Drosophila melanogaster: one gene and its partners. The protein of the gene in region 3 interacts with the protein of the main gene of each other region in a pairwise test. Each region holds a gene or a part of one and is shown on either strand. Other genes may lie near its edges. The genes, in order: Fer1HCH, teq, CG10949 and CG14315.

Region 1 (7,717 bases), on a different chromosome or scaffold from region 3:
CACAAAGTATAAGTGCATTGCCCACTCGAAGGCAAAAAGTATAAGTGCATGGTCAGCATTCACACGCCGACCAAATACATATTACATACGTACATACATATCTCGCTCTCCCGATAAGCCTAGATATATAAGATATACATAAGAACGCCGCTCCGCTGCTGGCGTACCCGGCAGCGCAGCTACGCGGATTAGCCTAAGTCCAAATATATAAAAAACTGTAAAATCGGAGAGACTCTGTAGACGTTGAGCTGACAGAACCATTTCTGCCTACTCTAAAATCAAAAGAAGAAATTGAATAAATATATGTCAGCCCGACGGCTGCCTTCAACTTAAAACGGACTTGTGTTCTTAATTGGAGTTCATCATTACAATAGCTATATAAGCTATATATAGGAGTGTTCGATCCTATAGCTCTCTACCAACCCATTTTCGCCGCTTGACTTTTTCAACCGGTTTTAAAAGGATTTCCCGGGGGCTATGGCTGTCACTCCTAAATGGGCGCCCAGAGATTTATGGTGAGAACAGCAAACAAGCGGAGAAAGTGGCAAGTAATCGAAGTGAGGGCAGTGCAGTTCAGATGAGCGAAAGACAAAGGAACTATTCGGACATAAATCATCTCCTGGCGGCAGGCGGCGGATGTCCTGCGGCGCTGGCTGCTGCCACTTGAATTCAGAACCGGTTCTGTTCGGTTCGGTTCGCTTAGGTTCGGTTCGGCTTGACGCAGGATCCTTCAGTGGACAGGACTCACTTCCCGATTTCCATTTCTATTTCCATTTCATGCCTATTGTTCTGGCCGGCGTTGCAAATTTGTCAGCGAACGAGGAGCAGGACAAATGTCAGCGCGATAAGCGTGCAGGCACTTTTATCTGAAGGATATGCGCAGGATGAATCACTCGCACGTCCCTGTCCAGAATATTTCACTGCCAAATTGGCTGGCTATCTGTGTAACTAAAAAAATATGCAAAAAAAAGTTATTTTCTATCGATACGACTTTAAGATACCCTGTAGTCAAAGGACATTGCAAGAATACAAGTGCTTCTGCTTGTAAATAAATATTGAGATCATATGCAGGGTACTAAGAAACAACATTTATAAAAAAGGCAATAAAAATCATTGGCAAATTGGTCGAAAGGCATGAACAATAGTTTGTCTCCTTTGGCCAAGATTGATAGTGGGTCCAAAGGTCATGGGCCATTTGTATGCTGGACACACCACCCGAAAAACTCCGCCCCTTCTTTTTGGTCAATCGAACGAATTGCGCTTAAATATTTGCGGCGCTTATCGAAAAATTTGCGGCCCATTGTCGAGAGGATTGATGCAATTTTAAATCCGCAACGAACAAGGACATCTGCTCAAATATTAGCTTATGAAATTGTTTAAAATGCCACGCACTAACCCATTCACTTCGGTCACGCTCCGGAAAACGGAAAATCTGGTCGAAGATGGCGGTGGTGGGCGGGAAACCCGAGCTCAGCCTTTTGACAGTTGCCACAATTTATCATAATTCAATGCATGGCATGACCTGTCAATCACTCGAATCGACATGGACGTGGACATGGACATCGAAGGGGTGAATCGAGCACACATTAGCCGCAGGGCAGGGGGTGGATAAGGCCGATGTGTTTGTGGACATTTTTACAAGTGACTTATGAATTATTCCGTGCACTTGCTCCTGTCCATCTGCAAGTAGCACACTGAAAACTAAATACTAGTTTATTACTTATAACAATATTTGAGCAAAGGGGAAGAAATTACTATAAGAACCTCGTGATATATAGTAAAAGTGAATACAATTTTTTGCAGTGCAGTTAGCGTCTCGCTTTACTTCCTCTTTATGGTTGGCTTTTTGTGTTTTCCAATCAGATTAGCATGGTAAGGGGTTAAGAGTACGGGGTTACCACCGCTGGGAGGGGACCACATGAAAGGGTCAATAATGGGACTCGAGACGAAGATGCTGACATTTATCAAACGGAATATGCGATGCGTACAACCATTAGACACTGCCCACTGATGGACGTCGGACGATGGACAGGCGAGACGTGATCCCAGATACGGCTCATCAAGTGCATTGTCGTGGGACAATAAAGGGTTAATCGGCTAACAGAGAGATTGCAATATTATCTTCTGAGCAAATTGGAGTTGGGAAGACAGCAAAAATTAGCGAAAGTAGATCCAAATATTAAGTGTATCAATTGTAAGGCGTATCACTTGATTCCGCACTCTACTCAACTCTCCAAGGACCTCTGTAATCTGATAGGCTTACTGAACCAACAGAGAGTAGAAACAAAGTTTTGCTTTATTGTGATTTTACGAAATAACCTACAACTTCACCATTCCCAAAAACACAATTTCTTTTTCCTTAAACATTCCAGTTTTAAACACCTTTTTTACAGTTTTTTCGTTGTAAGTTGGCCAAAATATGTCACAAGGCTGAAAAACGCACTTTTTTAGTCAGCTGGGGTCCTCAGCTAAAGACCCATATCAATATTTGCTTTAATTTGGAAAAATAATTTTTCGGCCAAATTTCGCATTTTTTGTAAGGGGTAACATCATAAAAAATCGAAAAAATTTTCAAACCAAAAATTTCTCTAAATGAGTTACCCGTCGTTTAGGAATATTTTTACAAGTTCAACGAGGTATTCCACTCCACAATTGGACGTGTCTTTCCCAAGATATAGCACTTTTTCTGTGAAATCCCCATCGAAAATTATCAACAAGAATAAAATCACCCTCGTTTTCCATCTGAAAAAACTCCCTCAAAAACAAACGCATATACAGTTTATTTCGTTACATATATATTGTTATTTATTTAAGAACTTGCTCGTCTAATTGACAGAAAAATATAAAGATATAGGATGTATTGAATGGGTTGTGCTGAGTGTCTTACTATGCGAATGAGCGATTCCACTTAAGCCTAGGCGAAATCTCGGCGATTGCATAATGTGGAGCCCCCTCCCGAGGTGTACGGAAATCACAAGTGGTTGATAAGAAAGAACAGACGTGGAATTTTGCTGTGCTGGTTTGAGGATCGCAGTCGAACGGATAATTTATTGGCCAGTCGCCGACTTGGCTGGTGATGATTTAATAGCGGACCCTCGGGAAGGCTCTCTGGGCTGACAGATAACAGATAACTCGACTGGCTGATAATTTTGATGCGTGACTGGGCGCTGCGCCTTCTCTATCTCCACCTCCTTACAGGGTCTTGTCGAACAGGAACTCGCCCAGTTCGCCGTTGGTGTCCATCATCTTCTTGAGAGTGGTCAGCTTGCCGGCGAGCTCGCGCTGTCCGTGGAGCTGCTCCTCCAGATAGACACCGGTCAGGTAGTCCACCAGGTGGTAGTGGTTGTAGGGCTTGTTCTCGCAGGTCTGGATCAGCTTGCGGATGGACTTGGTCACCTTGATCTCCAGGTCGAGGGCGTCGGACAGGGCGGCGGCACCATCGGTCCACTCCTGCTTGGCCACAGTCTGTGGGGGATTCGCCAGGATTAGCTGGGCTTTTGGGTTTTCTAGGCGAGTCGTCGACTTACCGGCACATTGATCAGATCGCTGACTCCCTCGGTCAGTTGACCGCGCATGGACAGGTACTCCACCAGCTTGGATCCGTGCTCACGTTCCTCCTTGGCGGCCTTGAAGAAGTGCTCGGCGAATCCAGGGCGGTTGACGGTGTCGCGGGAGAAGTAGGCGCCCATGGCCAAGTACTGGTAGGAGGCGTTGATCTCCTCCTGGATCTGATTGCGCATGCCCTTTATGCAGGCATCCTTCATGTCCACCCAGTCCTTGGTAATCTCAGGAACAGCCAGGGAGCCTGCAATGGGATAAGGTTGGGTTAAGTCGGGGGACCACGATAACAATATATGGCTAGTATTCAGCTTTAAAAAATTTATTTTTGTAATCAGAACTTAGGTAAATTTTAATATTTTAAAAACCTTTGCACTCTTGGTCTTGACCTTCATGGCTTAGGTTTTGTTTTTCTTTTAGTTGATGCTCTTCTCGCTCCCTTTGAAGCTCTCTCACGAAACTCTTGCTTTCTTGCTTGGCTGAGGGGTAGGGCGTTGTTGGTTATTGCATTTAAGAGGGCGTAATTGCATAAACCTTTGAAATTGCGCTTGAAATGCCGCTATTCTAGGGCACAAAAACCGTGTGCAAAACTGTAATGGCCTACTCTCCCACTCTCTCTCTCTGTTTTTGTAACTGCATTGGTAACGTGCGCAGCTCTCGCCGCCATAGTAACGGCATTTGTTTTCGTGTAGTGCCGTGTGCAAAAAGCATGGTTCACCATGCTAGCTCACTCGGCCCGTAAAAGCCGTGTGCAAAGAGCGCCTTGAAATGTAACAACAAAAAGTCAAGCTTATTTATACCGCAATATTCATGGAAATGAAAGCGAAATTCGCATTATTTAATTATGAAAATTTATGTATAAAAACTGGTTATCATTTCCCCAAAGCGCAACGGAAGTATCAATAACTTTTAAATCAACTGGTTTGGTAACTTCACTTCATTGACGAAAGAGAGTGAAAGAGCGTCAAAGAGAAACGGCGCATGCTCTTTTCAACGCATTACAAATGTTTTGCTTCTCTTTGCGTATTGCGTCGAAATTTATTGTTTTTTTTCCGATGACCTGCCTTTGTTTTGTTTGAAATTCTGATGAATAAAACGTAACATTAGTACTTACACTTGAAATCTCCATAGGCCTGGGCCACCACGGCCAACAGGAGCAGGCTAGCAATTAGTTTCACCATCTTTGATCGTCGAACGTAGTCTTTACACAAAATCACAGAACAAAAATTTGTTTTTCACTTTAGTTTGATTTGCTTGAAATGCACAAATGAGAATGAGGCGACTCGAGTTGAGCTACAATGTTAAATAGGCGTTGAAATTGAAAATCTAGCTGCCTTTACACACACTGGCGCAGAAGGCGTCGCCTGCTTCAATTTGATGGGCTTGATTGGGATTATTTTCGACTTCTCGAATGCTTTCCAGTACCTTCTGCTGACAGCTTTAATCTGATTTTTCAGTGGAGCTAAGGCCTTTCTACGTTGTGTTTTAGCGAACTCGAAAGCGAACTGTCGCTCCGAACGGCGCACAAAACACTTTTAAGCGCGCGCGCTCTCGGTTTTTCTTCGTGTGTGTGTGAGTGATGGGAGAGTGTGCACTGTTATCTTTTCAACATGTCGCCCGTTCTTTGTTAACCGTTTAAATGGCTGATAATTGAATATTCCCGATAATTGCCGCACTCAATGTGATACACACGTCCTCAATATGGGTATACTTTGTATAAAGTCGGGTTTCCTAGTCAGATAATCCCCACTTACTAAGAAGTAAATTTATCAAATGCAATATGGCCGCTCTTTTGAGATGCGCATCAGCTGTTCTTTGTTTTTGTTTTGGCCGTGGGAGAGCACCACGTCATGTGTTGCCAGGCGGTTTAATTATTGCTGACAATTTAATTCACATTTTGTCAAGTTGATTTGCACGTTCGAAGGGGGGATCAGTCACCCACTTTGATAACTGCTAATATGGCGACGGCTCTTTTTTACGTGTCGCTTGCAGAGCTCCAAGAATGACACTTGATAAGAAGGATACATGGTGGGAAAACTTACAAATTACATAATTTGTTTGTTGATTGGGGAAACCCTACATTATCTCCGAACCCAGCAATAATATGTATTGTAAATAGCAACAGTCTCAAGCTCGATGCTGCTGTGAATTACCAATATATCAAAACTTAAAACATTATCTTAGGAGGTAGATGGTTTATCTGCAGTTTATTTTCAATTCTCATCGTTAGCTGATAAAACTCTCAGGAAACCACTTGAAATCCAAAGTGCAGCGTCCATATTTTGCACACGCTGACAACCCTGTCGTGAGTCACCTTCCAGCAGGCGCAGCAACAACAGCACTGGCAGCGGCCATATTTGAATGACACCGAAATCCCGCACTGAGCGCAAAACAACACATGCCCATGCACGCTCTCCAAAACCACACACACACAGCCATATCGATCGCATAGAAAGAGACGTACGCGACGCTATAAACAGCAGTTGATTTTCAGAGTTTCACCAAGAAGCACATAAAGCGATTGAATTATTAATAAAAGCACAGGCACTGGAAGTGAGTTTTAATATTACTAACTAACTACTTTGTGAGTGTTTAGTTACGAAAACTAGAAAATAATATTCTGGAAACTGTGTTTTTAAACCGACCACCATATAAATTTAAAAACCAAAACATTCCATTGGTGGTGGTTTTGTTGTTAAAAAAGAGCACAGAAAATTCAAGAAAACGCTACGACGCAAAACGAAAAAACTCGCCCAAAATGAAAACAAAAGTGTCTGTTTTCCAATTGTCAATTGTTGTGAAACTAATTTCCTTTGTTTTCGCCTCTCGAATTTGATTTTAATTTACAGTAAACCGTCGACATGAAATTTTTCGTTGCACTCGCTCTCTTTGCGTGCCTCGGCTCTCTTGCCTTGGCCAAGGATGATGAATATTGCCAGAACACTGTAATCACCGCATGCTCTACGTCAGCCTTTTCGGGTGAGTAAAGAGAGCGCCTCTAAGAGAGAGTGGCTAATCTGTGTTGTTGCTTTTTGTATCTTTGTAAAACATAATAATAAAAACAAGCGCTCACGGGCTTTTTCACAGGCAAGAGTAAGTGAAATATAGATTGGATGTATTTCTGCACTATCTCAGATTTCGTGAAAATGAACACTTTCCAATTCTTACTGCATTACGGCCCTTACATTATTATTTTAAAGATACAAATACAAATTCAAAATTCTATTGCCTTGTTTAGTATGGCACTACCTAGTTAGGAACCATTAAGACTATGTCATTACTATTGGATGTGCTTCTGCTCTCCTATTCTAAGAGTGTGATCTTTATTATTTGCTTTTTCCCCGTAGCCAACTCCATTTGTAATGCCCGTTTTGCTGGCATTGACCATATTGAGCCCGAGATCCAGTCCTACATCAACGCCAACTTGGCCAAGTCGTACGACTACCTCCTGCTGGCCACCCACTTCAACTCCTACCAGAAGAACCGCCCCGGCTTCCAGAAGCTGTACCAGGGACTCTCGGACCGCTCCTTCGAGGACAGCATTGCCCTGATCAAGCAGGTGACCCGTCGCGGAGGAATCGTTGACTTCAACACCCGCCACGAGTCTTCCGGCTCCGTGAGCACCAAGCGCGGCACTCTTGAGGTCGACGAACTGCACTCCCTGGCTCTGGCTCTGGACACCGAGAAGCAGCTGGCCACCGGAGCCACTCACGTGCACTCCCGTGCCACCCACGCCACCGACGCCGAGAGGGATCCCGAGCTGGCCCACTACTTCGAGGAGAACTTCCTGGGCAAGCAGGCCGAGAGCGTGCGCAAGCTGTCCGGCTATGCCAACGACCTCGCCAAGCTGATGAAGGTCCCCGACCCATCCCTGTCCGTCTACCTGTTCGACGAGTATCTGCAGAAGCAGTAAGGAGTGGAGACCACCTCCTTTTCCTCCTTCTTTTTCTAACACGCTCCTACACTGTCTCCTCAAAATTGCTCTCATAATTCCCTTATAAATTTGTTTCCTTGGATTGTTCATCAATAAATCGCAGTGCAGCAGCAGCATTATCAAAGCAGCCACAAGTGAATAATTTACACCGCGAAATTCACCTTGATTTACCAGCACACCAGATTGTGATAATGTTATCATAAATAAGTTAGCAAGTTCGCCCCA
Region 2 (8,387 bases), on a different chromosome or scaffold from region 3:
CGAGAGGATGGGATAGTGACTAGGATCGTACTTGATGCTCGCGAGTGTCAGCTGCAGCAGTTCCTGTGGTTTTCCCATAGCCTTTAGAAAATCATGGCCATAGTATGAGAGGGCCTCGATGGCTCCAAGGTCCAGAAGCTGGCAGGGCTGACGCTTGCGGCTTAAAAACAGAATCAACGGCTCCACAAAGCATCTGTTGGGATTGTCAGGATATCTAACTATTGAACTTTTTATTTATTTCTAATGGTACATACTGTTCGATGGCCAACAAGTGCTCGCTATGCATGTTTCCGATGGCAACAAGGCCGACATTGTGGGTTTGGAAACGCAATTTCTGGATGTTATCACAGTGCGCCACTCTGTGGGATGGAAAATGGTTAGGTTGAGTCCTCATTGGGTTTTCTAAAGCAAACTTACTTGTATAGAAGTCCTCGCATTTTCTGGATGTGAACTGCATTTTGAAAGTCGAAGACTACTATCAGTTCCATGGCCAAGTTGGCCATGGAGCGATGGAAGAAGGCCAACTGATCATCGCATCCCACATCCAATTGAAAGCGAAAGTTTCTAAAATAGCTGAGGGGTGAAAAATAGGTAATGATTAATTATATATAGATGTAAATACTAAATTACAAAATTGGGCTTATTTCTTTTCTATTTGTTAGTCCAAAAGACCAATATAATTAATTTAAATAACATAGGAAAATTACTATAAATACAATAAATGAATCAGCATAGAAAAGGTAAGAAAAATAAGTATCTTTCTCGCAATCGCTAAGATCGCAATTTACAGCTCACAGCTTATCGCATCAATTAATTTAATTAATTGCATTTATTGGCAGGGGAATTCCTCTTATCGTGGACTTTCCCCTTTTTTCAACACTAATATAAACAAACGGACCTAGGTGCTTGCCCCCACACATTGAAAGCTTGCCAAATGCGAAGAGTACAACATATAAATGTCGAACAAGTTTTGGGGTCTACGATTCGTTCTTGCTTGCACAGATGTTTTTTTGCGCTTGATTAACCCACGGCTATATAATGTAAGGGGCAATAACAAAGGAAATATACCCAATAAGTACTGAAATTAAACATTTCAGCCACATACACAAATACCTACACCCACACGGATACGGACACACCCACACAGTGACAAACTTACCGTTTTTGAAATAAGGCATGTCTCCAAGAAAAACATACACCCGCTGCCGACCGACGATCCTGGGGATTTAGATAGTCGAATATGTGATTTAGTGCCACCGATGGTATTCTGTGCCATTCTGGTTGGCGTTGGCTAAAATTCATTACTCGATTTAAATGTTAATTGCGTTTCAAACAATGAAAAGTTGCAAGTGCAGCCGAGTACGCTGCACAATTTAAAATGCCAAATTAGAGTGACCGTCGCACGAGGTCGCAAATATGCCAAGACCAAGAAAACAAATATGAATACAAGCACAATTTTATCTTAAGCATATACGTATGAAATTAAACGTCAATTAAAAAACAATTTATGCACTTAAATTAGGTCTAGCCATTTTAAGTAAGCCGAGATAATTATTAATTTAGAAATTTCAAAGTGAGTAAAAATGCAAAGGAAATAAAAGTGTTGCTGTCGTATAAAATGACTGTATAAATTTTGTTATTGTTCTCTTATCAACGATTAAATGATTTCAAATTAATAACTGCATTTCAATGTTTCCTAATTTCGGATAGCAAAAAAAGCATCGTAAGTTAAGGGTTAATGCAACTACAATGCCTAGCTACGGCCACACTGATTGAAGCCGTGTTATGGTAACAATCAGCTGTTCACAATGATAACAACTCGCACTGCTGATTCTATATAGTTGTTTACGTTGATTATTAGTTTTATATTAATTAAAAATGTCAGCTTTGCTTCTTTTACGCACCTGTAGAAGTTCATCAATTGCTGGCATCTACAAATACACATACCAAGGAACAACTATTGCGAATCACACATGCAATCATCGTCTGTCGTCTACAGAAGCGGCGGCCGCGAGTGTCCAACTGGCAAATGCCGGTGGATTGGTGGGATATTGGCAGACCTTGTCCAACAGCACGCCGGTGGCCTATATGCAGGATGTTCTCATTAAGATCCACGACTACAGTGGCCTGCCCTGGTGGGCGTCCATCGTGCTGTCCACTTTCCTTTTTCGGAGCGTGGTCACCCTGCCTCTGACCATTTACCAGCACAAAATCACCGCCAGAATTGAAAAGATAGCGCTGGAGATGCCGGCCATTGTGGAGGAACTGAAAAAAGAGGCAGCCATGGCCAAGCACAAGTTCAAGTGGAGCGAAAAGCAGACTCAGATTGTTTATCGGCGTTCGGTTTGTTAAAATTCAAATGTTTGCGAGACACTCTTCGTCATGTCAATTATCTTACAGATCAAGAAGCAGTGGCAGAACCTTATAGTTCGGGATAACTGCCATCCCATGAAGACCATGATTGTGCTATGGGGTCAGATTCCCCTGTGGATCTTTCAATCCGTGGCTCTGCGCAATTTAGTGTACATGCTGCCGGATCCCACGTCCATTCAAGCTCAAATCGTGACCACCGAAATGACCATTGGCGGATTTGGTTGGATACCAAACCTTACGGTGGTGGATAACTCTTATATCCTGCCTGTAGCATTAGGTCTTATCAATTTGGCCATCATTGAAGTGCAAGCCATGTCTAGAACTCGTCCTTCTACACGCTTGCAGAACATCGCCAACAATGTGTTCCGTGGATTGAGTGTTGTGATGGTTCCAGTAGCCTGTACAGTGCCTTCAGCTTTATGTGTATACTGGGTAGCTTCCAGCAGTTTTGGCCTTGCTCAAAATCTGCTCATCCTCTCGCCGGAAGTGCGACGATCTGTGGGAATTCCCAAAACACAAACGGAACTCAGTGAGCCGTACGATCTGCTCTGGCTAAAAATACAGCAGAGGCTAAGACTTGCCGAGAGGGCGCCGGCTGATAAGCCGGCAGCCAAATGATCTAGTCTCTTAGTCATAATCACCTAGTCTAATTTGGGTATGACGTTTAGTTTGTTTAAATGCGACTGCGCCACTGTAATTCATCATCATCATTCTTAAGCTCCAACATCTCAGATTCATAGAAGTAAATAAATGAGTGAAAAACCCCAAAAGAAATGCAAACAAAACAAGGCGATAAGACAGCAAAAAGGTCTTGAGATTACAAGCCCTGATAGTGTGGTCCACTCAATTGGTTTGGCGACAAACGAGAGCATCTATCAGCGGCGGCAGAGATAGAGATTCATCCCGAGTCCAATTGAATTGAAATGCGATCTGGGTGTGGGTCAGTCGAGCCTGGAATTCGAACGGGATCACAACGAAGAATTTAAAGCGCGAGAAAAACAATTGTGTAGTTGCTATCAGCATCGGTGCATTTTAAGAAATATTTAAATTCAAATACTTATAAAGCGGAAACGTAAAATGATGGCCAAGTGGCTCCTTGGCCTTTGGCTGGCGATCCTGCTAGTGGATGTTAGTGTAGAAAGTTTATTAATAATTTCAAATTGTGTTTTTTAAGGATATCATCTAGATTCTAGATTATTTACAATTTTTTAAGATTTTAGTCAAACTAAAAATGTTGTTTAGGAATTTAAAACGCGCTTAAGACTTTAATTTTAATTGAACTTAATTACAAGCTATTAGCTAAATTTTGCCTCTAATTACTTACGGTTGTTCAATAATATTTCATAATTGCGCTTTTGACAGCGACCCGGGGCTAAAGCTTATCGATCAGGCAGTGGCTACCACAGCGAGCAGTCGGAACCAGTTGGCTTATCAGCAACAGGGAACGCACACTCGAGTTACGGAGGCGACCAGCAGCAGCCTATTTACCATCGGGATTCGGCATGCCCGCCGCATTTTACGGGTCTGGTTGCATATCCCCACGACTGTCATCGCTATGTGAACTGCTTCGATGGCAGCCCCACCATTCAGACGTGTTCGCCCGGAACTCTGTTCAATGACAGGACCCAGGTGTGCGATCATCCCAGCAATGTGGTTTGCCCTTCAGCGGAATCTGCATCTACTCGACTGGGAAGACTTAGGCAATTAGATAGTGAACCCAAGTGTCAACCGGGAGTGAATGGATTGCAACCGCATCCTTCGGATTGCAGCAAGTTTCTTAACTGCGCCAATGGTCAAGCTTTTATTATGGACTGCGCACCAGGAACTGCTTTTAGTCCAGCATCACTGGTATGTGTGCACAAGGATTTGGCCAAATGCGGATCGGGAACTGGAGCAGTACGAGATGATACCTCCGGCACCGGTACGTATGAGTGATTTAAATACAAAAATCTTGACTAACACTCGGTTAGGCTACCCTGCGTTGCCTTTTGATGACTTGGGCTGTCCACCCGGTACACGTGGGCTTCGTCCACATCCGCACGACGTGCACAAGTATTTGAGGTGCGGAATTGGGGTTAAGCCTCAGGTGGAACAGTGTCCACGGGGCCACATCTTCGATGGCTCCTCTTCGGTATGTGTGTATTCTGACTCCCCTCGGACCTCCTGTAAGTGTCATTTCATTTCTTATCCCTACTGCTTGGCCTCGCTTGATTCATCTGCTTTTTCATTTCGGGTTATTTTCTCATATTACGCTGTACACGCTTTGCTTGCCTGCTTAGTTGATAGACTCTAATCCTGATCCCTTTGAATTGTAACAGCTTCCTCCTTCACGTCGGCTGAGATTCAGGTCAACTATCTCTTGTGTCCAGTGGGAGCCGTTGGCCAATTTGTTCATCCCTTTGATCAAACAAAATTCCTTAGTTGTAAGGATGGTAAATCGGCTGTGCAAAACTGCCAACCTAATTATGTGTTTAGCATATCGAGGCGCTACTGTCAGTTAAAAGCACAATTAGCCTTTACCGACTATGTCACATTAATTATCTCCGAAATCAGCTATGAGTATTGTAAGTTACTTTATCATCACTGTACACTAGAATTTATGATAATATTTTACTAGCACTTATCCTTAATGCCTGTCCTGGTAACATCAACGGCATCTTCTTGTATCCCTACGATGCTAAAAAGTACGTTCAGTGCTCGTCTGGTGGCAGAATGTCCATCCTAAGTTGTGGCCCCCAGATGGCATTCAGTGTATCCCAAAGAAGTTGTCTTCCAAGTCATCAAGTGCACATATCTGATCGGGTGCAGTTCTGGCAGGAAGTCCAAGTTCAGACCACTTATACTTCTCAAGACTTACGGGGAAATGTTCAAAGCCAGCTGTCTTCACTTAGATCGTGTCCACCCAATGTCCAGAAGAATTACCCTTATCCATTCCATGCTGGCCACTATGTCAGGTGCCAATATGGAGCATTAGAGATCATATGCTGTCCCACTGGACAGCTTTACAGCCTCTCCCAGCGTCAATGTGTGCCTCGTAGCCTTCTCTCTGCACATGATTACTTGGATTACTCCTATATCAGTGCTGAACTTTCCAGTAAGCATCTCAAGGAATCTTGATGACTTGGACTTGATTTCAGACCACTTTTTCGTTTACAGCTGAGTTTATGGTGGATCGTTCGACGCTTTCTTGTCCTCCACAAGCACAGGGACTCTATCTGCATCCCTTCGATTGCACCAAGTATGTCAGGTGCTGGAATCAGCAGACCTTCATTGAGAGTTGTGTAGTATGTGCCTATGCAATATTAAGAACAATTAAATAAAATAGCATATTAACTTATGGCAGCACTTTGTTGCTATGTTTATGTTTATGTTTATGCACGCAGTTAGGCCAGGGCGGATGTAACATGATCACCCACTCGAAGGCCACAAAGTATAAGTGCATTGCCCACTCGAAGGCAAAAAGTATAAGTGCATGGTCAGCATTCACACGCCGACCAAATACATATTACATACGTACATACATATCTCGCTCTCCCGATAAGCCTAGATATATAAGATATACATAAGAACGCCGCTCCGCTGCTGGCGTACCCGGCAGCGCAGCTACGCGGATTAGCCTAAGTCCAAATATATAAAAAACTGTAAAATCGGAGAGACTCTGTAGACGTTGAGCTGACAGAACCATTTCTGCCTACTCTAAAATCAAAAGAAGAAATTGAATAAATATATGTCAGCCCGACGGCTGCCTTCAACTTAAAACGGACTTGTGTTCTTAATTGGAGTTCATCATTACATGGCGACCGTGACAGTCGTCCAACGCTGGACGAATTGACCAAAGCTGGTGAAAACAAAGGAACAAAGGAACACTGGACTGGAAGAAGACTGGACTAATTAAATGGAACTGCAAAAACCAAGGAAAAATCTGAGTGAGTAGAGTTCTATTGAGTATGGGCAAACACCGTGGCGGTTTGAAAACTAAGCTGAATAAACGTATAGCCCACGTAAGGTGGCTAATATACGGTCAGCAAACGCCACCGGTTTGGTCGAAAGCTCTAAAGCTACATGCAGAGCTAGACCACTTGTTGCAATATCAGCAAGAATTAAAGACCCATAAGCTCGAGAAAACTCACTCAGATAATATTAAAAATATACCCACAATTAATGAAGTTCCAAAATACCAGGCATGTCCAGCACCAGCACCAGCATTAACAAAACCAAAGAAGTCCTGCCCCCCTGGCTGCGAAGGAATCTGGAGTCCCCACTGCCTGGGGACTTGTGAGCGACCATCGACGTCTTCAGCGGCGAAGAAATAGACAGCAGCGAGGGAGTGTCAGCGTGCCACCCCCGGCGACGCCCAGCTGACACCTGATGAGCATCATCAACAGCAGAATATAATAATAAATATATATAAATATAAAGTAAATATAAAATATATATAGATAAGAAAAATTGTAAGAAATATTGTAAAACGGAGCATATACTATTATGCCCTGTTAACCCAATATGGCCCGTGAAGCCATAGCTAGAATCAGGCAGGCAACAATGTAAAATACAATTTTTTTTTACTCTTGCGAACATTGAAAGATTTTATAAATAGATAATTCCAAACATAAATGTCTATAGAGACAAATGAAATAAGTAAAACTGAAAATAAAAGTATATACAAAGGAAATTTTCTATTCTATTCTCCAAAATATAAAATTAGTATACCCAAAATGGGTCTAATAGACACTAAAACTGTGGACTCTACAGCCAATGTAATAAATAAAGTAGAAGTCCAAAATGCAGACTTGTTCTGGATAACCATAATACTAATTGTAATTGCATTAATTATGGTATCCAATGCATTAATAAAAATATACAAACTGCATAACAAGTGTCTTAAGAAACGATACCGTAGCACTGCTAACGGTATAGATAATATTTAAGGAAGATCTTTAATAAAGTCAATTATGAATGAAAATATGAGAAAAATTATATGAAAAAAAAAATAATAAATAAAAAAAAATATAAAACGTAATATTGAATTTATCTACATTAAAAAAAAAATATATACAAATGAATAAATTTGAAGTTATGAGTATACCACAGCATGGACTGGGAAAAGCTTGTTGATCAGATAAAAGATCAAAATGAAAATTTCAGAAAATCCTATAAGTGCTTAACGCAAAACAGATCAACACAAGCTGTAACAATCAATAGGAATGCCCAAGTCTTGGTAAATAGTTATAATGAAATCAGAGAGTTGATCCAACAAAATAGAAAGAATTTGGAACGCAAACAGTGTGCTAAGGCTTTGAACCTACTGGTGACATTAAGAGAAAAATTAATATTTATAAAAAATAAATTCAGTCTCCAGATAGAAATTCCAACCATAGTAAACACCCCACTAAGAATAAATTTGAATGAAGACAGCACTAACTCTGACGAGGAAGATAGGACTATAGTCAAGGAAGACATTAAAGAGGAAGATCTTCACGATCTAACTATACCAGCAAAATTAATGCTGAAGAACGACGATAAAACAAATAACGCAGCCGACTCCGAAAATAACTTAACCATGGCAGAAGAAGCAGCTGCCATTAGGTCTTACATTAGGGAAGTCGCCTGCACAGTGCCAGAATTTGATGGGCAAAAGATCCATTTACAAAGATTCATTAAGGCAATCAAATTGGTAGACCTAGCTAAGGGACCATTTGAAGACATTGCAGTTGAGGTCATTAAGTCAAAAATAGTTGGCACAATTTTGAACTCAGTTGACAATGAAACGACAATTCCAGCAATTATAAACAAATTGCAGAAAGTAGTTGTCGGTGAGACATCCAGTAATGTCAAAGCAAAGCTAGCAACAGTTCAGCAGAGAGGTAAAACTGCAACGCAATTTACCGCTGAAGTTGATAGCCTGAGAAAACTTTTAGAAGCTTCCTATATCGATGAGGGTATACCTCTAGAACATGCCACTGGTCTAAGCACCAAAGAGGCAATTGAAACCATGATACATCGTGCTGAGCACG
Region 3 (7,468 bases):
ACATGATTGTCGGAAATCGAAGTTATCGACAATCAGTCATCGAAGGAACGATCGCAAGGCAGCAGTGGAGTCGAGTGGAAGTCAGCGTTGCAGGCAGTCGAGTTCTCAGCAGCAGTCGTTCGGTCACAAACTAAGAATACTTTACATAATTACCGCATTTAGAATTAAACTAATAATTAAATTAATAATAAACAATAATAATAAACAATCTTACATATACATATACCGATGCACAGAGCCAAGGCAAAACTCACCAAATTCACAGACAACTCAGAAACTCGGTGCTCCAAAGCGGCGCAAATCTTCAGTTTGGATTTATTGTTATGCGATTCTCTCTAGTCTATATATATATAAATACAGGCTATATATACGTATGTGTGTTGGCATGGCACTGCGGTGAAATGTATTACAATTAATTTGGCACACACGGCGTATGCTGAATATTATTTGGTCTCTGCAATTGAGCAAATCCGCGGCAATTGGCAATTATACAAATTCTCTTCGCAGACAATCGCAACTGCATACAGTGCGCAGCAGACGGCCGGGTGCGCGGGAGGGGGCGTGGCAAATCCACCCACGGCCATGGTGATTGATGATTCGACCTCCGATGATGTGACAAAGTGGCAGTTCTGTACATGGTGCCACCCACGATGCCCGAGGTGATTCGAGGTCGGGTCAAAGGTCTGCGGCTGATTTGAACTTTAAATGTTGCAGCGACATTTGCATTTGGGCTTTAAAAATATCACGCACGTGCACTATGGCTGCACATGCATTACGTCCAGCTTGCAGTTCACTGAAGAAGCGAAGATATTTACCCACGCCAGTTCACCCAGTTGTCAATATAGTACGCTGAACTTGTATTTAATGCGTTTATTTCCATATTAAGATTTATTATTTATTTATACTCGTAGAGTGCAAGGGTATACCAGATTCGTTAAAAAGTATTTAAAAGGCAGAGGGAAGCGTTTCAGACCATATAAAGTATTCTTGATCAGGATCAATAGCTGAGTCGATCTGACCTGTGTCCGTTTGAACGTCGATATCTCAGGAACTATAAAGCTTAACGTTCTAGCTTTTATATGTATTGCGACCAGAACTGTATTTGAAAAACTGCATTATATTTTTTATATTGTTATTATTAGTCTTTTAAATTTCTATCGATTTTATATAAAAAAATCTTTTTGCCACGCCCACTATATCGATATGCCAGAAATATTATTAAATTTTGCGTTCTCACTTCCACTCACTACGTAATGGGTATCTGATAGTCGGGGAAATCGACTATTGTATTCTGTCTTGCTTCACTTGAATAAATGAAGCAAATGAAAAGGAATTTAAAAATAGTCAAATACTCGACTATCAGATACCTCTCACCCAACTTACATACGAGAGGAAGATAAAGATATTCGAAAATGGAAGAAGACATTCTTTTGCCATATTCCGAAGCAAAATTGCAATTCGTATGATTCATACTTTTATACTTCCAGAGATCTCGACTTTTATTCGGACAGATAAACGGACAAACGGACTTTAGGTTATGAGACGCTTTCTTCTTCATGTATCATTCTTTCTAATGAGTCTAGTTTAGCCTGGTAACTCTACGAGTAGATGGAATAGCTGATCCCAACTGACACTACTTGTCTGGATGCACTTACCTGTGTGTCAACAAAGAATGCATCTAGTGCGTCTAAAAGCAGCCAAAAGGACCACCTGGGTGCCGCCTCCAATGCCGATGATCGAGCTAATGGCCGCCAAGGCATGGAGCGATGACATGGGGTTCGGTCTAACGAGGAGGATGGACGGCAGGTGTCACAGCGACGGGCGCACTCTCTTCATCCATCCGCTTGGGCCGCACCACTCGACGCGGGGAATCCGGATCCCGGCCAGAACTTCAAACGCTTGCCGCGCACTTCGTTTATTTACACAAGAAACAAGTTTATGCCCGAGAAGAACCATTCGCAGGCACTTAGCAGGCGCTCGCGTTTATTATCTTAATAATAATTTCAGAGTTCAGGCGGCGCTCTTTGACGCACAACTAGGGATTCCTGCTCGCATGAGAATGGGATTTGGATCGGTATCTCTGGGTCCCGACCAACTGCACCGTGCGAACCGGAGGCGGCAACTAAGCGAATCGAGAATCTGTTGGCACTCGCGCTTCCCAAGAGCCAAGTGCACGCCAAGCGATTTGTTTATCCATCTGCTGCGTACGCGCGAATTTGTTCGTTATTAATTGCAATAAATGGTGTCGGCGTGGGCGCTTTTATTTATTTCTGTTTTTTGTTTTTGGTCGGTATGAAATGTTTGTTTCTAATTTTCGCGTAACCGAAATATTTGAATAATTCAGCGCCCTCTGGTGGCGGGTAGCGTTTGATGGCGATGGTTGTGGTTACGCATTTCAATGCTTTTCAGCACTGGTAATTTAAACAACTCAATTTGAAATCTACAAATATTCAAACCTTTCTTTTTCAATATTGCCTTTTGAGCCACAATATTTAGTAAGTTTATTTATTTACAGATATTTTCATGCTTACACTTATGTAATAACCCTTCTTCGTAATACTTTTGCAGCTAATCTACAACATTCTAATTTCAGTTAATGACCTGACAAGGTGCCACATCCTCGATCTCCTCGCCATCGAGGGCTTTGATTTGGCACTGGCACAGGAACTGCACGATCTTACGCTCGGCACTTGCCCGCTCAGACGGACTCAGTCCGTCCAGCAGCATCTGAGCCTTGGCAAGCAGGCTGTTGGCAGGCTGTGTACTTCGCTGTTCTCGCTCCTGCTCCTGTTCGTGGTGAATCTGGGCCTGCAGCTCCCGGGATTGCTGAAGCACGGTCTCCATGTTGGCAATCACGGTGGTCAACAGTTTGTCGGAGATGGCGGCAGACGGTACAGAGTCCCCAGGGAGAGAGGAGGACTCCTCTACGACGGGATTTACCCTGGCGATTGTGTGAATTATTTCCTCACTGGTGGCCGGCGTGGTGGTGGTCACCTGGAGCTGCTGTGGTGGCTCCAAGTCCTGCCGTGCCGTCGCTTCGCTGAGGATAAAATCGTACGGCGTTGCTTGCTCCGCCTCCGATAGTATCTCAATCTCTTCATCGTAGGCCAACTCAAGATCATCCTCCAGATCGTCGTTGTCCGTACTGTAGGGGTAATCAGCGCCCCAGATTTGCTCACCACTGGAGATCACCATTCCCTCCGGCTGTTTGCTGGTCTTTCCCGAAGGATTTCCTGCTTTGGGTGGTCGTCCACGTCGCTTGATGTTCTCCAAAACCAGGGGCACTCCTTTGCGGAAGTGGCGGCCCAGAAAGAGAAGGTCGTTAAAGTACCTCCACGTGATGGGCGTGGACTGGTTGATCTGATGACTGCGGAACTCCCGCCCGAAACGATCACGCAGCTTCTTCCAGCGGTTGTAGCAAAGTTCCTCTATTGAAAATTATCGGCATTAAGGGCTGAAGATCAAGAGGGTTACCCCGAGCTCACCCGACACATTTAGGTTTTCAGAAATCTCTCGCCAGGCTTCGTTTTTCGCTGCTAGGTTCTTGGAGACTCTGATCTTGTGACGATCATACAGCACGGGATGAGACTTGACCAGCTCAATGAGCTGCTCGTTCAGCAGGTCATCCTGGGAGTCCTCCTCCTCCTCGTCCTTTCTCCGCCTCTCCTGCTCCATGTCCACTTTTGTGCGCTTTTTCCGCTCCCTGGGCTCAAAACGCATCCCGTCGAGACTCTCGTTCCTTGCCAGTCCCTGTTTGTAGTGATCCTTGAGAAAGAGCAGTCGCGGAAACATGTCCCAGTAGGTGGGCTCATCCGGACGCTCCTGGAAACGGCGAAACTCCTTGCCGAAACGATCGCGAATGCTCTTCCAGCGCGTAATGCACGCCCGTTCCGAGGCTCCTAACTTCTGGGAGATGGCCTTCCAGGCCGCGTCCTTTTGCGCCGCATTCTTCACGCTCCTCGCGCAGTCCTTGTCGTACAGGATCGGGTGTCTCTCTATCAATTTAATCAGCTCATCGTCGTCCATTGATTTTCGCTATTATTTGTTTTTATTTATTCTGAACGATCCGGCAGCCTGGCGGGAAATATTGATAGTCGATAGGCGATGGGTCATCGCACAAAAAGGGCTGCCAGATTATTCTGTTAAAAAAATGTGCCTCTTAGTTTTATAGCACCGTTATTATAACAATGTTAAATAAAATATTTGTGTGTTTGTCTTAAAATGTCTTAATACATATTTATAATTTAAAGTTCGTGTGTACGAATTTCGTTTAAAATATATTCTATTTTATATATTTTAAAGAAAATTCTCTTTATGTTTGTTAAAATCTGCTGGTTTGAATTTCTGTGTAACCTGATAACATTGATGGTCGATAGCTCGATACTTCAATCTTTCCATCGGTGAGTTTGCCCCATCTCTATTGTGCTACCTGGCAACGCTGTGAGCAAGGAAAATACGGCAGCGTGCTCCCCGTTTTCCATCCACGTTTTGTTATAATTTTATAAGTATTACGGTCTGAGACCGATTTTGCACTGCATCGTGCGCGCTGCAAGTACTGGCGATTGGAAATTGGAGGCGCGAAAAGAGGATAAGGTGGATTTTCTTGCAACTGTGTGTGTGAGCATTGGAATTCGCCCGTGTGTGTGGCGAGAGTGCGTCCATGTGTGTGTGACGGACCAAAAAAGCCGACATCAGCGCCCATTTTTTGTTGTTGATTCATTAATACGCCCGTCATGCACCAGTATTGGTGAGTTGGAGCAGCGCACCGTCTTACTCGCACTCAACGGAGCGCAGAAAGAGCGCAGGGAGCGGCAGAAGAAGAAGCAGCGAGCAGCAGCACCATTAGCGGCAGTCAACGTCATATAATTTGTCATCGAAATTGGCACACTAAAAATAACAGTTAACTTCAACCGCCATGATCCTGCTGGAAATCAATAATCGGATTATCGAGGAGACGCTGCTGGTCAAATACCGTAATGCCCAGGCTGGGTAAGTCAATGCCTTCCAGTCCCGTTTCCCCAATTTCCATTCCACCATTTTGATTTCTATGCTGCATTCCCCACCGTTCTGTTATCACCAGTCGGCTTTGTTATCAATTTCGTTAGCTCTCTCTTTCCTCGGGAATAAATTTGGGTGTAGTTCCAGCCTTGGAACACTCATCGCTGCAGCTCTCTCCCTCCCACACACGTACCCAAGTACAGTGCAGCCCCCTTACGTCGACAGCGTATTAGTTAATTCATTACAACTCGCTATTCGCATCATCGGTGCTGAAAATCTGCAAAACTGACTCATCCATTGACGTGCATTCAAACGCATACGCTTGTGATGATCGAAAATATTAGTATTTATTTGTTCCTAATCCCGAAAAAGGATATTATTATTGAAGAAACATTATCAAAGGAGTCGTGTTACGAAAGAAATATGTTTAAGCTAAACGGTTTAGAAGAAGCTTAGACGAAGCTTACAGACTAACAAAATTATTAAAATTAGTAAAATAACTTATTGTACTAACAGCACTATCAGCAGAAAGAGGTATTTGTGTTTGGTAGCGAATGATTAAGATCTCACATAAATAAATGTATTTAAATGCTAATAGTTATGATGCCATTAGTTTATTCCCGATAAGATTGCAGTGTAATGCCTGAAATTAAGGCAATAAAAGTTATAAATTGTGGAACAAAAGTGGCATACTTGGAAAAAATCTCCTGTTGTGTCTCAAATGTTCCAAAATAAACCAAAAGGACGAACGGCATCCTGAATAATCAATCATATTATAGCAGATGACTTGTGTTCGTGTACATAAAAACTAATAGTTTCAATATTACTCCCCTATTATCTGTATTCTTGGGAGACAAAGTTTACATGCTAAAGATTCTCCATTTTCCGTGTCTACAACGCTCCGATATAAATTGTAACGCTTAAATCATCTTGAGTAATTCTTTTTGTTTCTTAAGATAAATACTTTCGTGTACATTATTGCAAATTTTAGGCTTTGGAGCCAAAGTGGCATTCTTCAAAAACAATATTTGATCTGTGTCTCAAAAGCTCCAACATTAACTAGAAAGACGAACGGCATCCTGAATAATCAATCATATTATAACAGATGACTTGTGTTCGTGTACATTTGCCATAAAATGTTCAACTTTTGTAATATTCTGGAGTCAAAGTGGCACGTCTTACGATCTTCCTGTAACTTGTGTCTCAAATGCTCCAATATCAAACGAAAGGACGAACGGCATCCTGAATAATCAATCATATTATAGCAGATGACTTGTGTTCGACTACAATAGTATTCGATTTATTAGACCAATAATGCCTCGGGAGACAAAGTTTACATGTTGAAGATGATGTGGCTTCTTTTTCGTGTCTACAATGCTCCAAAATAAATTGTTCGTTTAAATCGTCTTATTCGATTTATTTTATTGCCTAAGATGGTTGCCAACTGCACAACAACTAATTAAATATTTGGGTGGAGTTAAAGTGGCATATTTTATAGCTTTCCTTTGATCTGTGTCTCTATCGCTCCAATATCAATTTTATAAGCGAACGGCATCCTGTTTAATTACTTATATTAAGACAGACGACTTGTGTTCGTGCACAACTTCAAAATGCTTCAATAGTCATATGGAGAAAAAGTTTACATGCTAAAGTATTTTTCTTTTCCGTGTCTACAATGCTCCAATATTAATTGAACGTCTAAATCATCTTGGATATAATTATATTTCCATAGATAAATACATTCGTTCACAATACATTCGTTGTTCATATGAAAATGGATTGGAGTCAAAGTGGCACACTTAATCCATTTTTATTTGTGTCTCAAATGCTCCAATATCAAATGCAAAGGCGAACGGCATCCTGAATAATTATGCATATTATAACAGATGACTTGTGTTCGCCTACAATAGCTCCTGATAGCTTTACATTCCTTTATAAGACTCCCGTCTTCGGAGACAAAGTTTACATGCTAAGGATAAGATCTTTTTCGTGTCTACAATGCTCCAAGAGCAAATGTTCGTTTAAATCATCCTTGGCATTCAATATTTTTGCTGTGGATGCATTTAATTCGTGCACATATTTATAGATATGTATGTCGTGGAGGTAAAGTGGCATTCTCGGGATATATAAACCTGCCTGTGTCTCAAACACTCCCAAATCAACTTGGTTGGCGAACGGCATCCTGAGTAATTAATAATATTACATCAGATGACTTGAGTTCGCGCACAATCGCTTTAAGATCGCAAAGTACGATTTAGGAGCCAAAGTGGCATGCCTTGGAACTTTTATCCAATTTGTGTCTCTAATGCTCCGATACTAATTATACAAACGAACGGCATCCTGTTTGATCCTACATATCACAATAGATGACTTGAGTTCGTGTACATTATTCAGAAATATTTGTTTAGTTCTTGTAATTGAATTAAACTAAATTTAGATATCGGCTTAGCGATCCAGATACAAATACATA
Region 4 (6,924 bases), on a different chromosome or scaffold from region 3:
GCGGGGGGGTTCTGTCCGACGATGGCGGCGAAAGGTGCAAATAAATAATTTGCAGTAGCCGGGCGGCGACCACTCGACGACCCACTGTTGGCCTACCTACCAACCAACCAACCGACTTGGCCAACTGAAACCCCAACTTCGCTCCATCGAAAGCGACGGCCAGACAAATATTTTATTGCAAATTTGCTGATATTGGACGACAGGCGGGCACTGGAGCAGTTTGTAGTGCTGCTGCTATGCTCTTGTCCGGCTGTTTTGCATATTAAATTTATTTTATTGAATATAGCCAAAGATTTAGTTAGATACGCGAGGGTGGATCGTGTAGTATTCAATCATTAAAACTAATTATATCAGAAGTCAAAAGCCTAAACAATGTGATTGAGTTGAAACAATTTTACTACTGAGTCTGCATTTTTAGTTGGTAAAACCAAACTCCGACTAGACTAGCTAATAAATGTGCTATTTTAATAGGCTCTTTCTAGCAAGTAATTGCCGAAGAAACACTGGAAAACTGCTCTAATAAAGTGGCCCGTAATCGACTGGAAACCTAAGAGATTTTCCCCCCAAAATTACCGACCGTAATGTGCGAGTTTTGCGAACCGCCCTCTTGCTGGCCGGCATGTGCGCTTTTCCAGCTCATTGTGATGGCCTCTCCACCGGGTTAGCTGTGTGCAGCCCCCGCCGGCGTTGTTGGCGCATAATTGCCATCGGATTCGGATGGTGGATGGAGGAGGCCCAGCGGGCGATGAATTATTAATTGCCGTTGATTTGCATTGAGATCGGAACGGTTCGGGATCATTACCGCGACCGGCAATCTTGCCGAGCGTACCAATCTTGCATATAGTGTAAACATAATAATCAACGGGCATTATATGCCGATATTTGCCGATATATATATATTACATACATATGCATGTGGCGATCAGCAGAATGCGCTTTTGCAAAATGGCCGGCGGTCAGCGCGGCCCCCAATTGACACCTGAGCGGCCGAGCTGCCTATTATTGCTATTTGCGCTGCTGTTGCTGCAGTTGCAGCTGTAATTGTTATTTATGCACTTGCATTTAGCCGACTGTATGTGGCATGTGGAGCAGCGCATAGCGGCCATGCCCCCTGGGATGGGCGTAACGCCAGCAATTTGCAGTGCTGCGCCAACGATTACGTAACAGTTGGGAACACTTAATTGTGGGGCGAAAAGCGACCCACAATGATGATCAAAATTAAAGTGCACTTCGTCATTATCAGTCGGAAGAAAAGAGGGTTTAGAATCCCCGATCTATTTTTATTCCTCAAAATTAAGAGCATATAATTATTAATCACAAATCACCGACAAGAAATCTTCAAATGTCAAGTAAAACTCCAAAATATATATATTTTTTGTTAATAATTAAAAACATCCCGACGTTTACTGTGTATACATATTAAATCAATATTAAATATAATTACCTTGATGCAAATACAAATATTTGGATTTCTAAACATTACCAATTAGATTTTCCAATTGGACTTTGCAGTCTAGTTGGACACACACGGACGCACGCACACGCGCAAACTTCAATATGGCGGCCGCGACAAAAACGAGACAGAAGATCCTTCTGCTGATCTTACAAAATCGGATAAATAAATAAATTTGCTAGTTTTTTTTTTGTTTTGGGCAGGGCTCGCGTGCTTAAGTTCAACTTGAAAAAGTCGCAAGTGACTACTGTGCGATCCCTGGAATCTCAAGCGGGAAAAAAATAAAGATAAAATGTGTACACAGGTACATACATACATATGTACATACATATATGTATTTATGTACGTAAGGAGCAGCTGCCCTCTTTTGTTGTTGCACTTAAAGTCGCTAAAATGCGGTGCGTTCGCTTGTCAAAATTGCAGCAGCATTCAGCCTTTTTTATGTTAAGAAGCCACAAAGAGATGACGCAGTCGAAATGGTTAAATGAATTAACCCTTTTACTTTGCACAAACACACACACACACATGTGCTTGCAACAGGCAATACAGTGGCTACAACAACAATAGCAGACAGGGCTTTGTGATTTTTCTGGCCGTTCTTGTAGTTTTTTGCCCAACACACGGATTAAGCTACACCCTCGGAAAAATATTCGACACAAAATCACGCGATTTAAACTAAAAAATAAATAAATAACACAATTGCGCGGAAACTTGGGAATACACGGCGCTAAGGATATCGATTACTTATTACTTATTACTTTTTATCGATTCGCATCGTCGGAGCATTCGCAGGGTACTGCCAACTTATCTCAATTTCCTAAAGGTCATTGAACTCAAATATATATATAAAAAAACGAATGTAGCATTGCATTTATAGCCATTGATTAATATGAAAGGAAAGTATGTATAAAAGTGCAACCAGTATTTGAACTTGCATAAGTTAAAAATCAAAAGTTAGCTTAGGTCCTATGATTACACCAATCTATTTGACCAAAGTACATAATTAAATATTACATCCAAAATTCAATTGTTCCTGTACAAGTGTACTAACTTTTTGGCGTTTCATGAGCGGCTCGTGTGTACAAACATTTATTTAAATGCTTACCCCCACCCCGTAGCCACTTCAGATGAAGCTGGAGCTGGAGCCGAATCTGAAGCTTGGAGCTTGAAGTTTGGAGCACGGTGGAGAATTGCGCGTAAATTCGTTGCGGTCTGCGCGTCATCAACGTAATCGCCGTCAACAGCAGTCAACAGCATCAAACTGGCAGGCAAATGTTGCTACTGTTTCCAGACGCAGTCCGTCCGGCCAACAGAAGCAAACGAAGCAACAGAAGCACCAACCGCCGCAGTGAAGTGGTTTTTTATGATCAGACGAGATGAGCCGAGCCCAAAGCAGCACTTTCCATCCGAGAAAGAAACCGAGGCTACAACAAAAGCGTGTCTTTCGAGTTCGCTAATGGGAACTACATATATGTATGTACATACATATGTACATTCCGGGTACAAAGTGCATTTTGTGGAAACCCTTTGGGCAGAATGTAAACCATTAACAAATTGTAGCAGACCTATGGCCTATACATTTCTTATTTGTTTTAACTGTTTTGACTCTTATAAATGAACATATTTTCAAGAATCTGAATTAAATTGTAAATTAGTAGAATGAAGCTCTTTCGAAACTACCTCGCTTTGCTCCTTCCGTTTGATCATTTGACCATTTTTGACCATTTGCTTTAGGTTATGGCATTTTGTCCATTTCGTATTGGTCATTCGGTTTTGGCCATTAATTTCGTTATATCATTTCGTTTTTGTCTTGCTTTGGTTATTTCGTTTTGGTCTTTCATCTTAGTCAGTTCGTTTTGACCATTCGTTTGGGCCGCTTATGTAGTTTTAGCCAAATCTTTTTGACCAAATTGACTTGAGCTTAGTTCCTGGCTCTACATATTCTGTTATTTTTTTTTTTTTTTAATTTTTGAGCTGGAATTAAAGCGTTTCACTTCAAACATAGTACACCTGTCGCACAGACTTATTGTAGTTAGTTTTGTCAAGCGTTCGAAGCGACTGCAGAAATGAGGGTCTACTTGTATCAAATGCGCCCGGTGCTCTTTCTCTTCTACATGGTGGAGACGACGGCCAACTTATTCGTTTTGTACTACCAACTGAAAGCATTTGTTTTCGTCAATCTGACAACGATGAAATGGGAAGATGTTCTAATCCAAAGCTTTTATATGTCCTTCTTTTACATATTCACAGTGGTAACGCTCTTTGCCAGCATAAATCTCTGCACCGGTCATCGCACATCGATCGTTGAGGAAGTTGTGCGTCCTCTGATCGGATTTGTTCTATATACGGTAATATCGTTGATGGCACTGGGCGATGCCGAGACGGATTTCTATATATGGTATGATGGAAGGAACCCGGATGATTTACTATATCCGGAGAAGCCGCTCCATCCGTTCTTCGGTAGCCTGCGGGACCAGGCGACAGCCTCATTGGTGTCCAGTGTTATCTATCTGCTGCACTGCCTCATTGCGTTGGATGTCCTTCTGTCGAATGACGATTCGGATAACGAACGCGAGTCATCCAATTCCTCCGACGATGTGAACGAAGAGGTCGACTACGTTCCAGTGCGTCTGTACGTCTTTGGCGGCGTGATGCAACGCTGGCTGGAGCAGTTCGACTGGTTTCAGGACTTTACCCACAGTGGAGTCACAGATATCTGATATTTTATCATTAACTTCATTTATACAACTACAAATTACATGATAAACAAAACTTCGCATCGCTTTTCTCGGTGATTATGCAGCCTTTGGATTTTGGTTACATTCGGTGCAAGAAACCCTAATCATCAGCATTCCCATGACGTCAGTGGGAAGCAACAGTTCGGTCTCTGCATCATATAAAGCTCATTGTCGTCAATGTGCCAGTGATAAGCAGCTGGGGCCAAAACATCTACATAAGTACGCGTATCTATAGTATCTATGTATCTTGGTACGAGTATCTGTATCTGCTAGTGCGCAGGTCCAAAGTTAAAGCGAACAATCGATATATGTACTATGATGTTTGGGGCAAAGCGGCAGTCAAGAGCAAGGTGAAGCATTGCCCCGGTGCTCCTGGGTGTGGTGCTTTTTTCATTCATAAAAAAAAACTGGTCCACATGACATGTGGACACATTCAAGGCTATTTCTAGACCAGACCAAGGATGTCCTTATGCCTCTCATAAACTATGCAATATGATTAGAAAGTCTGAATGTTTAGAATTAGTTTTATAAACTCACAAACTTCGGTGGATCAAAAAGTTTGGCCAGGTGAAGCTAATACTATGGCCTACTTTTCGGGGTTATTTTAATAATATGATTATTGCTGCCATGCTTTTGTATAAACAAATCAATTTCACACTCTTATTAAGTAACATTTTTAAGTACTTCCCCTCTTATAAAGCTTGAATTTTCCATACGGAAACCCAATTCAATCTTAAATGCTACAATTTAAATAAAAAATCACATAAATACTCGACTTTAAACAGAAGTCAAACAAAACAGCAATAAATCTGCTCAAAAATCACGCTTAACAAGAAGAAAAAACATATTTTCCGCCCACGCAATAAGCGAATGTGAAAATGTACATAAATGCGAGAGGGAAAATCGATAAGGACGCCATTCCGCAGGAGCGTCGTGTCCTTGAAATCGAAAAAGGGAAAGACCATTCATGAAGTTGGCCGAACTTTTCATGAATGAAAACGGCCAGCGAGGAGAAAAGTTGACACATTTCGGTGAGTTTGCGCACCATAATGTGCGAATTTTCCAAAGGGGAAAATGTTCTCTCTCCAATTTCACTGCGAAAACTTCCCCATTTTTTCCGGCCACTGACGCAACCACAATGCGCTGTTCCAAGGTCAGCGTAAAATTTCATTCATAAAACTGATACGCCCCGCGGCGTAGATATACATGTATATATATCCATGGCGCGTGTAAGTTCCCAGAAGGTGGTCATGGTTGGGGGACAGGAGGTTAGAGCTGGATGTTGGGCGCGGATTTGGGCCTGAGTGAGCACTCCATTTGCAGCTTGTTGATTTTTCTACGCGTGCAAACACAAACAAAGTGGGAAACCATTTCATTCATGAATCCAACTCAGGGGGAGGATTGTGGGGATGCTCCAAACTTCTGATCCCAAAGATTTTTGGGTGGAGCTCGTCCAGAAAACAATTTCGCGCTAAGCTGAAAGCAATTTTCGCCCCTAGGAATTTGTGGTAAACTTAGTTTAGCTTGGCTTTCATTCAGCTGGGAGTCAAATCTTGCTAACTTGAAAATGTTAAAGGTTATTGGTTAAATGATGCGTATTTGTAAAATAAATGAAATTGTTGTGTACGTCACATAGATTTTATGTTTTAAATTCCGTTCAGTTAGATTCGATTTTTGCCAAGTTGAAAAGTATTTATTACACAATCTGATGGTAACGTGTCGTATGAGTAATATTTTTACATAACATCGCCAAGTTTTTGTCCTTTGCCTGTATTTAAGCCACCTGTATCCACAATTTACAAGATTTCCCAGCAGTCTGACCACGAAAAGTCCTCCTGGTTACATGGTCATCCGTGGACATATCATTGACATACCAAAGTTGAATCCATTAAAAAATATAAGTTATTTGTCATAAATAAATAATCGAAACTGTTTAATATTGTATTTCTTATAGAATGTTATGTACAATAGCAAAGTTAACTTTCTACTATTATTCCATAGTGAACTAAATAAGTTTATAAAATGGATCACCCCACCTAGTGGTAACAAATAGTTTGGACAAAAGCTATTGAGTGTTTTTATTTTGCAAGGGCTCGGAAACAGCCAAAATGTGACATCGCAATAAACGAATTTATAAAGTTCATAGAAATACCATGGTACCACACACCATCTTAAGGATATTGAGGCACAGTTCGATATTCCAGGGCGAACATAATTTTGGCTACGATCTAAAGTACATTTTTCAAATCCAGTTCTCCACTTATACTTATACGAAAAAGAGCAACTAAGCGCCGCCTAAAAGATCAAACAATGCAACTACGTATAGGATAAAATCAAATATAATAATAAATTAGCATCGATTTATGGCTACAGCTGTGTCGTTTGGTTGCCTCCCGCAATACCAGCAGCTCCGCCCTTCTCCACCATGCTGGGCATGCCCGGCTCCGATTCGGAACGCTTGTGCGTTCGCTTGGGCAATCGCTGGGTGGCCTTCTTAGCCTTGGCACTTGTCACTCCGTCGCCGGAATTGTTGAGCAGCATCAAATCCGGTTGGCTGCGCACCAGGTCCTGCTCCTGGTAAACCTCCTGGACGGCTGAACTGGTATTGGTGTTGGTCACCTGCTCGTTGAGGCAAACATCGTCCAAATCCACATCGCTGTTGGAGAAGAGAGCTGTGGCGCCCAGTTCCAGGGAGTTGGTCACGTCCAGCTCCTGCTCACTGACCGCCTTCTT

The links.
Region 1: the proteins of CG10949 (region 3) and Fer1HCH interact in a two-hybrid assay, tested with the Drosophila melanogaster proteins (one large-scale study listed by BioGRID).
Region 2: the proteins of CG10949 (region 3) and teq interact in a two-hybrid assay, tested with the Drosophila melanogaster proteins (one large-scale study listed by BioGRID).
Region 4: the proteins of CG10949 (region 3) and CG14315 interact in a two-hybrid assay, tested with the Drosophila melanogaster proteins (one large-scale study listed by BioGRID).

What each region holds. Positions count from the first base shown.
Region 1 is NT_033777.3:30,382,792-30,390,508, forward strand, and holds Fer1HCH (ferritin 1 heavy chain homologue), read right to left. Parts: upstream 4,829-7,717; 5' UTR 4,740-4,828; coding exon 4,673-4,739; intron 4,619-4,672; exon of another isoform or gene 4,321-4,618; coding exon 4,312-4,320; exon of another isoform or gene 4,093-4,311; intron 4,038-4,092; coding exon 3,927-4,037; intron 3,806-3,926; coding exon 3,528-3,805; coding exon of another isoform or gene 3,507-3,527; exon of another isoform or gene 3,466-3,506; coding exon 3,193-3,465; 3' UTR 3,011-3,192; downstream 1-3,010. Other genes in the region: Fer2LCH (ferritin 2 light chain homologue), read left to right, coding at 6,420-6,537, 6,625-6,651, 6,906-7,471. UniProt on the Drosophila melanogaster protein: Stores iron in a soluble, non-toxic, readily available form. Important for iron homeostasis. Iron is taken up in the ferrous form and deposited as ferric hydroxides after oxidation.
Region 2 is NT_037436.4:9,071,329-9,079,715, forward strand, and holds the start of teq (tequila), read left to right. Parts: upstream 1-3,314; 5' UTR 3,315-3,450; coding exon 3,451-3,501; intron 3,502-3,735; coding exon 3,736-4,294; intron 4,295-4,343; coding exon of another isoform or gene 4,344-4,538; intron 4,539-4,691; coding exon of another isoform or gene 4,692-4,937; intron 4,938-4,990; coding exon of another isoform or gene 4,991-5,467; intron 5,468-5,529; coding exon of another isoform or gene 5,530-5,693; exon of another isoform or gene 5,694-6,128; intron 6,129-8,387. Other genes in the region: CG4911 (uncharacterized protein), read right to left, coding at 1-193, 255-359, 418-573, 1,160-1,302; CG4942 (uncharacterized protein), read left to right, coding at 1,879-2,343, 2,401-2,991.
Region 3 is NT_033779.5:20,412,679-20,420,146, forward strand, and holds CG10949 (uncharacterized protein), read right to left. Parts: upstream 4,241-7,468; 5' UTR 4,027-4,240; coding exon 3,486-4,026; intron 3,429-3,485; coding exon 2,590-3,428; 3' UTR 2,495-2,589; downstream 1-2,494. Other genes in the region: Arpc2 (Actin-related protein 2/3 complex, subunit 2), read left to right, coding at 4,916-4,989.
Region 4 is NT_033777.3:18,155,251-18,162,174, forward strand, and holds CG14315 (uncharacterized protein), read left to right. Parts: upstream 1-3,450; 5' UTR 3,451-3,519; coding exon 3,520-4,173; 3' UTR 4,174-4,221; downstream 4,222-6,924. Other genes in the region: CG7218 (uncharacterized protein), read right to left, coding at 6,559-6,924.